Rattus norvegicus: one gene and its partners. The protein of the gene in region 3 purifies or fractionates together with the protein of the main gene of each other region. This does not show direct contact. Links are inferred from orthologs where the notes say so. Each region holds a gene or a part of one and is shown on either strand. Other genes may lie near its edges.

The links.
Region 1: the proteins of Cuedc1 (region 3) and Tom1 purify together in Homo sapiens (co-immunoprecipitation; 3 studies listed by BioGRID and IntAct, with this or other methods). This does not show direct contact. The link is inferred for Rattus norvegicus from reciprocal best matches to the Homo sapiens genes CUEDC1 and TOM1.
Region 2: the proteins of Cuedc1 (region 3) and Smurf2 purify together in Homo sapiens (co-immunoprecipitation; 3 studies listed by BioGRID and IntAct, with this or other methods). This does not show direct contact. The link is inferred for Rattus norvegicus from reciprocal best matches to the Homo sapiens genes CUEDC1 and SMURF2.

Annotation. Positions count from the first base shown.
Region 1 is NC_086037.1:13,409,062-13,414,827, reverse strand, and holds the start of Tom1 (target of Myb1 membrane trafficking protein), read right to left. Parts: upstream 3,585-5,766; 5' UTR 3,514-3,584; coding exon 3,462-3,513; exon of another isoform or gene 253-3,461; intron 1-252.
Region 2 is NC_086028.1:92,263,555-92,268,502, forward strand, and holds part of Smurf2 (E3 ubiquitin-protein ligase SMURF2), read right to left. Parts: intron 2,580-4,948; coding exon 2,378-2,579; intron 1,008-2,377; coding exon 932-1,007; intron 684-931; coding exon 584-683; 3' UTR 1-583. UniProt on the Homo sapiens protein: E3 ubiquitin-protein ligase which accepts ubiquitin from an E2 ubiquitin-conjugating enzyme in the form of a thioester and then directly transfers the ubiquitin to targeted substrates.
Region 3 is NC_086028.1:73,465,263-73,470,328, reverse strand, and holds part of Cuedc1 (CUE domain-containing protein 1), read right to left. Parts: intron 1,090-5,066; coding exon 962-1,089; intron 1-961.

The DNA of each region.
Region 1 (5,766 bases), on a different chromosome or scaffold from region 3:
AGGGAGAACGTTGTGACCCTGAGTAGTTAGGCTACTCTCCCACCAGTTAAGGCTCAAACCCCAGACCAACAGACACGCCCGAGGTGCTTATTTAACATATCGAAGCGAACCTGGCCTCCAGGTTCTCCCAGTATCCCTCAGTCCCTGCGGGTTGCAAGGTCCTCCTGTCCTGCACATTCCAACCCCTGCCCTAAATTTCTCCAGCCCAGGTATTAGCCTAGACTTCCCTCCCCACAGCTGCCCTTCCCTACACAATCTAATAATTTTGGTTCTCTGGTCTTTTTTCATGTACCTTTTACCTTGCAGGCCTCTTGGTGTGGCTCTGCTCCCTCCCTGCTGGGCACCCATGTTCACTCTGAATTCTCCCAGAGGTCTTTGCTTCTGGCTATGCTTTCCCTTTTATCTACAATAAACTTTCTCCTTCACCATACTCAAGACCAAGCCATGTCCTTCCTTTTTTCTTTTTTTCCTGGTCACCTCCTTCTAGGTGCTGAGGCATCAGGAAAGAAAAGGAGAGCTCCTGCTCTCAACTCATGCCAGGCTGGGGACAGCCTTTCAGGGACAGTGATACATCAGTGTGATGGAGGTGGAACAAGAACACGAGGTGGCGGGAGCTGTTTCCCATACCCTCTCACTGCACAGGCACTCTGAAAGACTGGCTTCCTTATAACCTCTCTCAGGCAAGAGCGTTCAAGTTTACAAACTAAAGTTCCCACGAAAGCTACACCTGGGTTAAAGATGTTAGAAGGTTGACTACAACTTTGTGATGGCGGAGAGTTGGAATGCTGCAGATCTTGAGACAAATTACCTTGCTTTAGACCCTTAGTAACCACTTATTGCTTATCTTGTGTCTGACCTAACATTTCTGTGACTACCAGGTAACGCCTTTTGGAATAAGTTAATAGAAAACTAGTGTCTACCAACCCAAACTTAGTAATGTCATCAGCTAGCACCTGAGACATGGAGCCTAGATTTTCATGCTTTGCTGTAGCCTGAGTGTCTGGTTTATGGCTTGCTTTTGTTCTCTGCAACTACAAAAAATATCATGAAACCATTTCCACATTGGACCACGTTATTTGGGGTGATGCGAATCTGTATTCTTGGGTCATGGCAATTCATATTTGGTCCGGGGATAGAATGAAGTATCTCTGATTTCCCTTGAGGTGAGAGCTGTTTTGTGCCTACAGGACGCAGACTGAGGACAGAACACAAGAGCAGAGATTGGGTCAGGAGATGGGACACGGCCTCAGGGAGGAGGTGGTGCCCAGTGCTTCCGGGCATGAGCCCAGCTCCTCACAGCAGCAGAAATTTCCAGTGAGACCAGCCAAGTGTCAAGGTGTATGTGAATTGTGAGGCCAGTGACACTGGGCCCTGATTAGCACCACTGAACGACTGCTATCCCCTAGGATGTTAATCCTATAACACTCCACTCTTAGGGCAGGAGGTCAGCAGACCTGAGAAGATACCACTTTACTCCTGCAGCAAAGAGGGGCCTGGGCTATAAAGAATACAAGCAGCTAAAACCTGGCCACCAATCATCACAGCCAGTCAGGTCTTCGCCACTTGGAAGCTGATGGGGGAGGACTGCTTAAGGCCTGAAGCTCCTGACCAACCTGGTCAACACTGAGAGACCCTGTCTCAAAAAAACCAACGCAGGCTCAACCTCCAGTGCTTCTATCTTGACACACGGAAGAGTATGGAACACTGCTGTTGTTCTTCAAGGTAGGGTCTCTCTCTGTAGCCCAGGCTGGACTTGAACTCAAAATCTTCCTGTTTCAGCCTCCTAAGTGCTGTTCCACCACCCCTGGCTCTTTTACAGCTTTGCCATCTCATCGCACTGCACTGGATTTTGGGGGTTCCTCAGTCTTCACCCCCTTCCTTCTGTAGAACTTGATCTCTTCCTCTCAGTAAAGGGAAGGGCCACGGGACAGAATGGACTGGTGTTTTGTTTGAAACAGGGTCTTACACTGCAGCTTATGCTGCCCTGCAATGAATTTCAGAGTCCAGTTAGCCTGGGACTTTGTGGCAATCCTCCTGTCTTAGTCTCCTGGGTGTAGGATTACAGATGTGAGCCACCGCTTCTGGTGGGAGGTTTCGAAACGTGTGCTCTCCCAGCCAACTGCAAAGAACATGACTGGGAACCCTACACCTGCCCATCTGAGTCTTGGATCGGTCCAACCTATTCTGACATGAACCCCAAGGCAGAGAGGGTCCAGCAGTGAGATTTAATCAGCGCTCCAAGGTACTGATGTAGCAGCACTCTTATCCAGGAGTATTTTTTGCCCGAGGCAGGCAAACTTTCAGGGCAGGAAGAGATGCTGAGCTTTGAACTGAACGGCATCTTAAACCCAAATGAGCTTATCCAGGTCTCTGGACTTTCAGGCTGGCTTTGAAGGCCAGACTAATTTGCCTTTGTCTTTACATAAGACATCTGAGAAGAGGGCTGCCTTCTCTTTCCGGGTCTCAAACAACGATTTATGGTGGGGTTTTTGTGAAGCACCTGGGCTCCAGGCGCCAGAGTTCCCTGCAGAGAACTGATGAGAACCTCAAAAGAGCCACTAACAGCTGCAGTGGTGGTTACAACACAGCTGGACTAACGACTTCGGGGAAGCCTTGGCTTTCAGATCCAGCCTTCCCAGGCTGGACCAACGGCGAAAAAAAAACATCAAAAATAATTTCACAATGCGGTCAGATAAAGGGGATGTGTGTCACGCCCAGACCACCCATTCCTGGGTAAATGTCGCCAGCTGGCCTTCGCCCGAGAGTAGATGCTGGGCGCCGGCATCTTCCCATGGGCTCCAGCTTCAGTAGGCGGTACCTCGTTGACAATGACAGGCGTTAGCCATGTGCCAGGAAACATCCTCAATGCCTCGCGCTTATTAATGCATTTAATGATCAAAGAAGTCCAGCAAGGCCATGCCATGATCCTTAAACTATGGGCGAGGACCATCAAGGAGGCGACGTCACATAAACCCGAGTCTCCCGACCATGGGGACAGAGGCGCGGCCGAACCTAGATACCCCGGCGTCTCGGAATGTGAGCGGCGGGTGACGCGGCGAATGACCCAGGCGCCGCCAGCCCGGGAGAGGCTCTAAGCCTGCGCGCGCCCAGCGGTGGCGCGGCCCAACGCCTTCTCACCACAGCAGTCCCTTTAACCCAAACTTTCTCCCTCTACTCTGGACCCCAGCACGCACACATTGGCTGAGCCACATCCGCCCAGAACTGTCTCCTTCTCCTGCCTATTGGTTACATCAAGCATCAATCCCCATATAAGAATTCCGATTGGCCTGTGCTCTTGTCAATCAGGTGGGAGTCATAGGGTAGGCGGAGCCCAGAGCGCCGCGCCAGCCTCGCAGCCTAGCCTCCCTCCTCCCAGCCCTGACTGTGGACTCCGACAGGTCCCAGGGTCGAGGCCAGAGCGGCACACAGGGGCGGGACTGCACGCGGCTCCCGGGACTCACCGATCCGCTGTCCCACGGGAGAACTGAACGGGTTTCCCAGGAGAAAGTCCATTGCCGCGGCTACCACTGCCACCAGCTCCCAGAATCAGGTGACAGCAACCGCCGGCGCCGCCGACCCGTCACGTGACCCGCTGGCCGGCCCGCGGGGAGGTGCCGGCAGGCGGGGGCTCTGGGGCGCAGCCACGAGCCCCGCCCCCTACCGGGCTGCCCCTCGGCAGTGGCTGACGCCACACCAGGGCGGGGCCTGGGAGAGCTGGCTCCTAAGCCACGCCCCCGAAACTTCTATGTGCGCCGCAGTGGAGCCTAGAAGTCTTCACATCCGGAAACTGGGTCTCTGGCCAAGGAAAGACCTGGGTCAGGTTACGCAAGATAACGAAAATATTAGCATCTTAGCCTTTAGTCTTGGGGACCAAGCCCTAAGGACGATAGCCTCCTGTCCAAGTCGGACTCGAAATTTCTATTTGATGTCTCCCTGCTCCAGGAGCCACTCGTTTGTGGCCAAAGAGGAGGCAAGGACCTGGGTTTGTGCTCCTTTGAGACAGAGAATGAACTGAACATACTGTGGCAAGTTCCTTTACCTGGTAAGCCACCTCATCCACCTTGGCTCTTGGGAAACCAGAAAAGTGCTTTTTCTTTACCTGTTCCCCTCATCTGTAAAGGTGGTGGTGGGACGACCAATATCCATAATGTAATGCTTTCAGAGTATTGAGATGACATGAAAATCACTCAACAGGCATTCCGCGATGGTTGCTTCTTCCTTGCTGTATCTTTGTATTATGTTTTTAATTTTTTTTAGATTTATTTATTTATGTATGAGTACGCACTGTTGCTGTCTTCAGACACACCAGAAGAGGGCACTGGCCCATCACAGATGGTTGTGAGCCACCAGGTGGTTGCTGGAAATTGAACTCAGGACCTCTGGAAGAGCAGTCATTGCTCTTATCCTCTGAGCCACCTCTCCAGTGCCAGGCATTATGTTTTAAATTTGTAATTTTTAAAAATCCTGTATGTGTCAGATCGAAACTTACGAGGAATTGATTCTTTCACATTTAATCTCTTGAGATTAAACAAGTACCGTGGGACATCTCACTTCCTCTCTTCCATTCTTGGCAGGGCTGGGGCTCATCCTAGGACCTTGTCACATTAAAAGCCAATGCTCTGCATCCCGTTTTTTTGGACACAGTCTCCCAAGGCTGGTTTCAAACTCAGATCTCAGGGGTGTTGGAATTAAAGGTGTATGTACATTACAACATGCAGCCTTTAATTATTATTCGTGTTTTGCTACTTATGATTTTTAACATCTTGTATTTCCATTAACTTTTTCCTTAGCCATGAAAGGCCAAATTTCCATATTTCAGTGTTTATAGTATTAGCACACATTCACGTCAGGCCACATGGCTGTAGACTCAGAGACAAGGAGGTGACATCACATCCCCATTTTTTTTTAAATAGACAAGACTCTGGAAAGATCCTGGGATATGAACTACTTTTTAGCATAGGATTTTCATGCAACCCTGACAAAGATTGATGGATACTTCTTGATGTAGGCCAATAACATATTGTATATGGTTTCATCTGCCAAGCACTAGAGCCACACTTATCCGATTCTCTCCTTTTATAATATAAGAAAGTGATATTTGAGAGCCTTTACATATAAGGTGTGTTCAACCTGAGACACAGGGCTGCATGGCTCAGGATCGATAGGAATGTGGTAACTTGGCCTTTATTTCAGGTTTTGGTTTAAAAACTTTAAAATTTTAATTATGTTTGGTGTGTACCTCTGTGTGGGTGTATGCACTTGTGTGCCTGTGCCTAAGGAGGCCACAGAGGGTGACTGATCCTCTGGGACTGGACTTACATTCGGTTGAATGAATGCTGGGATCTAACTTGGGTCCTTTCCAAGAGCAGGAAATAGTCATAACCAATGAACCATCTCTTCAACCCCCCCACCCCCCGCCCTTTTAGAGAAATGCTAGGGTAGAGTAGAGTGAATGACAGGTTTTACAATTTTATAGCAACTATGACTAGCCCAATTAGGGAAAAGACAGCTAAGACTGGACTATAAATATTAAAAATGAGATCTTTAATATAAGTACAAAATTTTGTTTCTTTATACAACTGTAATAGGATTTGGATCAAACCACTAGGATTTATTTAAAAAACAAAATAAAACAATGATATAAAAACAGCAAGAAGGCCTGAATCCAAAGTTTTTCCTCTAATAGTACCAAATACCACAAGGTACAGATTATTATACAAATGTGTACAAATCTTTAATACAAATACAACAGGGCTAGGCTTCAGA
Region 2 (4,948 bases), about 19 Mb from region 3:
GGTGACCCACATAATGCAAAATAGAACCCTCTGCTATAGAAAAGCACAACTAAAAACATGTAAATGGCTTAGTTTCATAAAGGTGACAATCCCTTTAGCCAACTGTTTACAAAGGTGAACAATCCAAAATAACTTTAGTTTCTTACAAAGAGCAGGGACAGGAGCTGTTCAAAACCACGTGTTCAATCCAACTGAAATGTGGCTTGTACCGACTGGGGAGCTGTCTTGAGTGTGAGAGACGCGAGTCTGAGAAGCAGTTTGGATAGATAACCTTGTATAAAAATAGTAGTAGTCTTTTAAGTGTAGAATACTGCCTAACTCTGGAGATGCAGGGGTCAGCATTCTTTAGGTTCAAGGTATTAATTTTTAAATAGCAGCTGAGTGTGTCCTCATGGCAAAGCATAAAGACCTTTATTTTTCCTTGAAAAGGAATTTCAAAATTGTCCCTTCCCCTCACAGTGTCCTAGAATCTAAGGAGCAGGGGAGGGGCTGTTGTCCTGTACTCCAGCGTTCTCTGAAGCGCTGCTGAAGGAGGCTGTTGGCCAGGGGTCAGTAAGAGCTGTGGGTGAGTCCTCGGCGCTCATCACTCCACAGCAAAGCCACAGGTCTCCTCGATGGCTGTTAGCAGCTTTTCGTAGAGCTTCTCATAGCTCTCATAGGGCGGAATGTCTATTCGATTGAAACTGTGAAGAAGCAAATCAGACTTGATCATTTCTCAGAGCAAGTCAGCAGGTGCAGCACGTGAGCATAACACGGCCTTTGTCTCAGACGGAAAGGTAGAAGCTGCTGTCCTCTAACGCAGAGATCACCACGCTGGGGAGTGCCTACTGATTTCTGAATAACTTTTTAAATCACTTCAAGGAAGTGTTCATCATTTCTTTTAAACTAAAATCTACCTACAACGACAGAGGAGAATACAAAAATAACTCACCAAGTGTGGGCTTTTGGCAGGTTGTTCGTGCAGGCATCAATCTGGTGTATGGTAAAGAGCCGTGGGCCCGCGGCACCTGCCAGTGAAGGAATGTGGGTCAGATCACAGCAGGTACAGGAGTCCATCTCCAACGCCTCAGAATAAACTGGAACATAAACCACGGGCTGGGGAGCACCTTGCATTCACACACACTAACATGGGGGCTTATAGGAAAAGTAGCCTGGTTTTGAGGTTGTAAGTGACATGTAGGCTCAGACCAGGTGCCGTAACAGCAGCACTGCTGTCTGAGAGAAAAGCTTAACTGATGGCCTCTGTCAGCGTGGTGCCACAGAACATCTGCATCCCAAAACAATATGAACACATTTGGTTTGCTTTTTTTTTTTTTCTTTTTCCAAAACAGGCGACAGGATTTCTGTGTAGCCTTGGCTGTCCTGGAATTCTCTCCACAGACCAGGCCTCTGCCTCTGAAGTGCTTGGATTAAGTGCTGGCTCACTGTTTGAAATAGCATCTTGCTATGTAGTTCAAGAGAATCTTAAACTCAAGATCCTCCTGCCTCAGCTCCCAGAGGGCTAGGATTATAGGCATATGCTATTATGCTTAAAATACACATTTGAATCATATTTAAAGATGATAACCTAATGCAAATTTACACTTATGACTCAAACTGAGCTTAGCAAAGATTAGCAGTCTACGCACACATGCCCCACAAGGGAAGACCACTCCACGTTCCCCAAACAGGGAAGGGAACACAAACTTTAGGTAGCTTTGCCCAGGCTTTCTGAGCATGCTGTGGGCAACTGCTGAGGAATCCTGCACTAGTCTACACTGCTGATTCTCCCTCCTCACCGGCAGCTTCGAAGCCAAGAGTTTAAGGTGAAGGAAGCAATGGCCACCGAATGATGCACCACAGCCATCAGCAATGTTATCAACTCAACCAAAACGCCAACAGTTTACTCCACAGACCAATTCTAAACACTGAAGACGGCTGTAAGTCACTAGTCTGAAGTCATGTAATAAAGTGCTCTGACCAATCAGTCGGCTTTCAAAATTCATGCTGCCTCCCTCCTGTTAGAAGAAAGGCAGAGGAGGCGTCTCGGGTGGGTAAAGGTTTGCCAAGCTGAGACGTGAACATGGAGGTAGATGACCTTCCCTGCAAAGTTAAAGGCAAGCTGACCAGAAAGTGCAAAACAGAGCATCAGCACACAGGCTTTCTCTACACTGCTCACCGCACCCACTGCGATCAGAGAAGTCTGTCAGAAAGGCCTCTGCAGAAGGAGCTGCAATGGAGTCACATATAGGAGCTATCAATCAAAGATCTTCATAAGCACAGGGCTGGCTATAAAAACAGCAATGTACCCCAAACACTGATCCGTCCCATCCCATCCTTCCCTACCCCTGCAAGAGTGCAAGCAAGGTACCTGTGTGCCCACCCCAGGACTCCTCACCTTGGAGTGCTTTGAAGCCCTGCAGAGGCACTCGAGAGGACCCTGTCACAAACTGGAGCAGCCGTGCTCGTCTCTCCTCATCAAAAAGCTCCACAGCTTTCCAAAACCACTTGACGACGTTGCTGTCTGGGGTGCAGTGCTTTAACCGGGTGTTGGCCTTCCAGTCGCTCACGTCAATTTTGCCAAGCCCACAGATAATGAGCTGTAGAAATATTTGCCAGAGTGGTGAGCTGCTGCGTATCAAAGCTGGGCCTCCCAAGACTTCTCAGATTTGCAAAGCCCCACGAGTGATACACAGCTGAATTATCTGGAAAGCTTTTCAAAGCAACCCCAACAGACCCTGTGCTGCAGGGACTGTAACTGTCTGTCTGTGGCACTCAGGTCTGAATCTTTTTGTTTGTTTTTGGACCTCACTCTGTTGCCCAGGTTGGCCTCAAATTCAGAGACCTGCCTGCCTCTGTCTTCCAAGTGCCACCACCGCTCTGCAAAGGTCTGGATCTTTAAACCTCCAGAAGTATCTACTCATTGTAGGTCCTGTTCACTGTAATGGACTCTGACAAGATCAAAGATTTGTAAAATTTCCAGCTTCAAAATAGAATTCTAAAATTTTAAAACAGTAGACAGAAATCAAGACTCAGTAAACAGTTGGGTGAAACAGCCCATGCCTACAATCCCAGCTCTTCAGAGGCTGAGGCGGGAGGATCAACATGAGTTTGAGGCTAGCCTGAGCTACTACCTTGTCTCAAACAGAAGACTTCTCTTCTTACCACTAAGGTCTACCTGGGCCTTTCTTAGGCCTGCACTGGTTTACATCAGCTCTGACACTGCCAGCTTTGCAGTCTGAGGCACTTCTGTCACCAGCCTGCAGTGTTCTTTGCTCTAAGATCACAGTCACCACTACCTCATTTTACCTATGAAATGATCCAGAGTGTACAGCAAGAGACATGTTGGGTCCATAATATAATTTACTTAACAACTTTGAAATTATATTAAAATGTAGATACTCAAGGGCCAGGCCTTGGGCACACGCTTTTAAACCCAGCATTCAGGAGGCAGAGGCAGAGGCAGATCTGTTGAGTAGGAGGTCGACATGGTCTACAAAGTGAGTTCCAGAACAGCCAATGCTACATAGAGAAACCTTTGTCTTGAAAGATAAAATAAATAAAAATTAAACAAAATACACAAATTCTGCTGTATAGTGTTCCAACTGACATCCTGATACAATCAATACATAAGAACTACACCAAGGTCAGTTTGATAACAGGAACTTATCTCTACAGAGTCCATTACTGAGCGAGGTATGTGTATATATCTAACATGTTTGCTCTATTCATTTATGTGCATATATGTATGTGCACATGAGCACACACCACAGTACACGGGTGGAATTCAGAGGACAACAGTCAGGAGTCATTTTCCTTCTACCGTCTAGGCCTGGGATTGAACTCCGTTGTCAGGTTGGTTGGCATGTGCCCTCACCTGCTAAATCATCTGGATGGACTGCCCATCAAGTGATTATCAGTGAATTATGACAGTGAAACCCATAATGTAACTTGTATGGCCTAGGTTTCATATACTTAGTTTTGATAAGGTAGCATGACCTATGTTCTAAAGATTTCAACAGTGATAAAACTACAATGTAAGTCTTACCCTTACCAAATAAAGTTTACCTCCCAAAAAGGTGGTTTGAGTATATGTGGCACACAGGGGGAGTGGTGCTGTTAGGAGGTGTGGCCTTGTTGAAGGAAGTATGTCATTGTGGGGGTGGGCTTTGAAGCTCTACCCAGTGCAGAAGGGTCAGTCTGCTCCTGGCTTTCTCTGGGTGAAGGTGTAGAACTCTCAGCTCCTCCGGCATCATGCCTGCCTGGACACTGCCATGCTTCCCAGCATGATGATAACAGACTGAACATGTAAGCCATCCCCAATTAAATGCTGTCTTTATAAGAGTTGCCTTGGTCATGGTATCTCTTCATGGCAATGAGAACCCTAACTAAGACAGTATGTCTGAAATAATGAATTCAGACCATTAAGGATGCCTTCTAAATTCTGTCCGTCAGAGGAGTGGCTGTTACAGCACAAGCTCTAATTGACAACATAAGCAGGGGAGAAGGTCCTGTCTCAGATCCACTCACTCTAGCCACCTTGCTCTACGTTCCTCCTCCTCCTGACCTGCCTTGGCCAGCTCATTACTCAGTCACTAAAGGAGCAGGGACAGTACTGAGTCAACTGATTGTTTGTAAACATCTATTAAAGAGACCAGCAGCAAGCCTGGAAAGATGGGTGGCTCAGTGGTTAAGAGCACTTCCTGCTCTTCCAAGGAACTCAGTTTACCATGTTAGGTGGCTACAACCACCTCTAACTCCACGTCCAGGGATCTAAAATCTGCCCGAGTACCTGTACTCATGTACACATACCCACATGCAGACACATGCAATTATACATAATTAAAAAATAATAAAAATAGATTTAGAAAAAGACAAGCAAGAAAAAGCCAGAATACTACTACAGAAAAAAATTTTTATTTTATTTTATTTTAATTAATTAATTAATTAATTAATTTATTTATTTATT
Region 3 (5,066 bases):
CCACACCTCGGCTCTAGCATCAGACAAACACAGAGCCCAGAAAGCAAGCAATTCACATACAACAGACGCCATTGGCGCCGGCTTCATTTTAAGTTTCCAAATAACAAGAGTCTCAAAGCTGAGACAAGTCTCTGGGGTCCTCGCTGTCCACTCTCCTGTCTCCAGTCATCAAACTAGCCCAGAAAACGACACATCTTCACATTGCTTAAAAATCCTCTCAACAGCACTAGCTCAGGGGTGACAGTCATCCCACTGGTGACTGATGGCTACCTGGGGGTTCTGGGTTGGGAGGCATTCTGAGGTTTCATCTTGCCTCAGCAGGAGACAGCACAATGATTAATTACTAACGTGCCCATGTGCTAGGGAAGGGAAGGGTCAGTACAATATTTCCTACCCTTGATTACACATTCCAAGAACCTGGAGGCTGTACCATATTTAATTAACTGTATCCCATAGGCATATGCTGTTATGGCTGACTTTTTTACATGGGTTCCAAACTTGGGTCCTTGTATTTTCTCTGCAGGCACTTTAGGAGCAGCCATTTCTCTAGTTTCCACTTTATTTTTCGGATCGTTTTGCACTGAACCTGGAACTTACCGACTGGCTAAATCAGCTAGCTTCAGGGACCTGCCCGTCTCTGCAATGCCAGCTATTGGTGTTACAGACGTGGGCTGCCGTGCTCAGCTTTTATATGTAGAGGACTAAGAGTTCAAGCCCAAGCCCCCTTGCTTGTACAACGAGCACCCTGCCGACTGAGAGCCACTTCCCCTGTTCCACAGTGTTGAAGTGGTGAAAGTTCTCCCAGAGGTGTCCTGTGAAAATGTCCCTTGCCACCGTACAAGTTTACAGCTAGTAGAATAATGTCTGCTGGGGGGCGGCCAATTTCCCACTGTGGTTTATACAATCCGACCCCTGTCTCCATCTCTACCCACCGTGCTCTGAGACAAAAATGGACTCTAACCGGGGAGGTGGAGTTGGAGGAGCAGTCAGGTAAGGCCGGTCGAACACGTGCATGTGGTATGCTGGCGGCGAATACACAGGCGGGGGCTCTTCCTCAGAGCTATCGGGCTCCAGAGTCCTTTCCAAGATCTGAGTCAGAGACAACAAAGAAAAACATAGTCACAATTATTGATTAGGAGATTAATAATCCATCCTTGAACCTCAGTGGCATTCGGATGAAACCAAGTATAGGTGAGGATGTGTCCGAAGGAGTTTTGTGCATTGCTGCTGGGAGCTCGTGTATTGACACTAACATGTGGCTACCATGACCCCTCAATTATACTTAACAAACAGGACAATGCACTGCCTCGAAGAATGGTTCATGGCAGCAGCATCTGTCCAAGCAATGCTCAAGAGCAGCAAAACAAACACAGGGTGGAAGAGAGAGACAGTGACGGTTGGCGAGGATGGGAGGAGGTGCTAGCGACTCTGGGGCTGCCTGTGGAAGAGGCTTATGGATCTGGGTGCCTATCACGGGGTATGTACGTGCCATGAAACCCCACTGGACTGCACACTTGAGACCCATGTCCTCTGTACTCATCTCTGATGATGACATCATCCATACCCTTCCTTCGTCGAACTTCCACATCTCTTATCTTAACCCCAGTCTGGCAAGTTAAGGTCCATTTTACGGATGAGAAAATTAAGGCCCGGGTGTGTTTTATTTGTTCTGTGGTACCTGGAATTGAACACAGGGTCTCACACACATGAGGCAAGAACTCTACCACTGAGGTGTGGGCCAGTTCTTTTTACTTTTATTCCGAAATAGGGTTTCACTAAGTTGCCCTGGCTGGCCTTGAACCTGTCTCATTACTTCCCTTGGGAAGATGTGAAGAAGAGAGAGTGCCCTCCTCCAACAGTTGTATACCAAAGGCCCAGCCCAGTCCAGCATGGCTGACAACCTCTTGAAAGCTCTGTAGAGCCCCTGAGTTAGCCACCTTCTTGAATACTCCAGCATCTCCCAAATTCATCTGCGGCCAGAGCAAAAGCGCAGACAGAGGGGAGATGACTGTAGGAGAGAGGGCAGGGCTAAAATCACAGGTGACCCTCTAATGCCCCTCCCTGCCTTCCATGAGGGAACAGGCCCAAGCTTGCTGAAGAGCTGGTGTCAGAAGTCAGAGCTGCTCTGACTAAGGTGGTAACGGCCATGTCACAGCTCAAAGGAGCACAGGTCAGGCCACTTCTGATGCTCCTGCCCTGCCTGCTGAGACTCAGATTACAGGCCTGTGAGGCTGAGGTCTGGGCCAACACCACTGACTGGCTCTAGGTTGGAACCTTCAACATGAACCATGGGGTTCACAGTCTCGGCCTTCCCTCAGGCAGCCTGCACACCTAAGTAAGATGCTCAGGGTGAACAGCCCCGTTGCCTACAGTCCCTCTGGACCCTTTCCTCTTCACTGAAAGAGCAGGGCAGGGGAAGGCCGAGGATAGGGTGAAGCCAAGTCCCTGTGATTCAGTGGATATGAATCTGCTCCCCAGAGGCATCTGGGCAGCTCTCTGTCACACACCTCAACCCACCCCACCCCTACAGCTCTGTTCCTACTTCCTCAGAGACCAAAGAACCTGGGAAGGGCTCAGAGGTCCTAACTGACTCAGCCCCTAAGCCCCCAGACCCACTTAAACCCTGGGTTTGTAGAAGACACCCCTAAAGTTGTGTCTCTGCTTCTGCCAGGTCAGGTTCCATGGATATATCTGACCCCTATCCCAGCTGCGCCTAGGACGGACGGGGAGGCAGGCTGGCAGGGACTCCCTGGCAGGGATCAAGCACACACACTGCAGCGCTCTGCACGACAGCCTGACCCAAGAAGGCTCCCGCCCTGGAATGCGTGTTCTTTCCTGTGAGGCGGAAAGTATTTAAACAGATGCTTCTGCAGAAGAAGAATGAGGCCGCCTGGCCGGCCCGGGACGCTGCATTGCTCACCCCACATTCCACCAGGAAGGAGAGGGATGCAGGGTGGGGGATGGTATGAGGAATGGGCTCCTGGTGTATGGTGACACCCCATTGCTTAGCACAGAAGGAGCTCAGCAAGATCCTAGGGTACCCAGAAGGCTGGCTGCTGCCTCCTCTAGCCTACACAACCCCGTTTCTGACAGCTCTTGGCTCTGAGCGACAGGGTTCAGGCCTGGTCTGGTGAGAGGGAGAGGGGAGTTCCATGGGTTTCTTCTGATCTGCGGTGTGCCTCCAGACTCAAGGAGCCCAGGGAGGCAGGTGGGTCCTGAGCCTGTTTACTACAGTGCAGCTTCCTGGAGCAGCAAACGCAGCCCCCAGAGAGGAATGCTGGATAGTGTGGAAGCGGGAACGTGGTGGGCCGGCCAGTTCCAGAAAAGAAAACCTGTAGTCCCAGAGATGGAACCCCAGCATCTTTCTGCCCACCCCCTATATTTCTAGCCACAAGGAACTTTTCTGGCTCTAAAGGTTCTGTGGTCCCCCAGCCTAAATCACTGGGTGATGGGTGCCAGCCAGGTGTTCCCGAGGCTGGGAGGGAGGCAGCCTCTGGGCCATTTATCTGATAGGAGCCTTTTCTCTGTGACAAGGATACCCCTTGAGCCAGCCCACCATCCGTCAGCCTCTAGAGACGGGGCTTTTTCCAGTCAGCAGTTATTGTCATTCTTATTGTTCCTCATAAATTTTCTGCAGCATTTTGCACTGGCCCAGGAGCTGTCTGCTGATGGGTCCAGGCAGGCTTCCAGGCTGGGAGAGAGCCAAGGGTGGCCCAGAAGGGGCTCAGTGTGTGGACAGCAGACTTCCTGGGAACAGAAGTGCAGTACAGAATGGAGGCCTGGGGTTGAGGAAGCTTTGAAGAGGTCTGTGGTGCCACGGGCACTGTGGGCAAAGCAGGAAAGACCCCGCCTCCAAGATTGTCAGGACCAACAGGATCATAGAGAGTCAAAGCATGCGGAGGACTTCCCATCTCACACTGAAAGAATGCATCTACACATGCACACAGGCACATGAACTCACACCTCCTTTCAACGAGAAGCATTTGGATTTCCCAGTGTTCTCTTCACTGACTAATGCAGGCAGGCCAAAGGGATGTTTGACAGAGGAAAACGTGAGAGAAAGTTGTGCAGAGACATTGTGAACAGGGCTGGGGAGATGGCTCAGTTGGTGCTTGCAACACACGTTTGAGGTCTTGGGTTCAATGCACAGCACCCTATAAAGTTTGTGGCCCCCACTAGGGATGCCCGTCCAGAGGGAGAGGAATTCTATCCCCCAAAACAAGGTAGCTGACTCTTGAGAAACAACACTCTAAACTGGTCTCCGGCTTACACACAAACACTAGTAACATCTCGACGCAAACATTCCCCTGTACTGCTATGTGCTTGGGGAGAGAACACCACGCTGGCACAAGTCATCATTGCCCACACAGCTGCTCCATGAAGAGAGAATCCTAGAAGCACTCACTAAGGGAAGGAGGGGCGGGTAGGAGGACCAAAGAGACTAGTCTCTGCAGTCAAATCTGGTCCAGAGTTCTCACATTAACAAGGGTAACTGACTGCTCTCATCGAGTTTGAGAAACAGAAAAGATGCATTTCTGAAGCAGTGGAGATGCCCAGCACAGGCTGGACTCTGGAGAGAGTGGAATTCTGGTGTAGCTTACTTGTCATCCCAGATACCTGAGAGGCAGGGGGATGGAAAGTTCAGGGTCTGCCTGAGCTACAGAGAAAACATAAGTCTCTATGCTCCCCAACACACACATAGGCAAACCCTATGTAAAAAGAGGGCTGGGGGGCTGGAGAGATGGCTCAGTGGTTAAGAGCACCGACTGCTCTTCCAGAGGTCCTGAGTTCAAATCCCAGCAACCACATGGTGGCTCACAACCATCTGTAATGAGATCCGATGCCCTCTTCTGGTGTGTGTGAAAACAGTGACAGTGTACTCATATAATAATAAATAAATAAATAAATCTTTTTCCTTTTTAAGAGGGCTGGGTGTGGCTCTGAGACACAGGGATTGCAGGGCATGTATGAACCCCTGGGTTTAACCTTCAGGACTGCAAAGAAAAAACAGACAAACAAACAAAAACCAAATGCAGTTTGTTCCTATCTTCTGGTCCTTGTCTCAT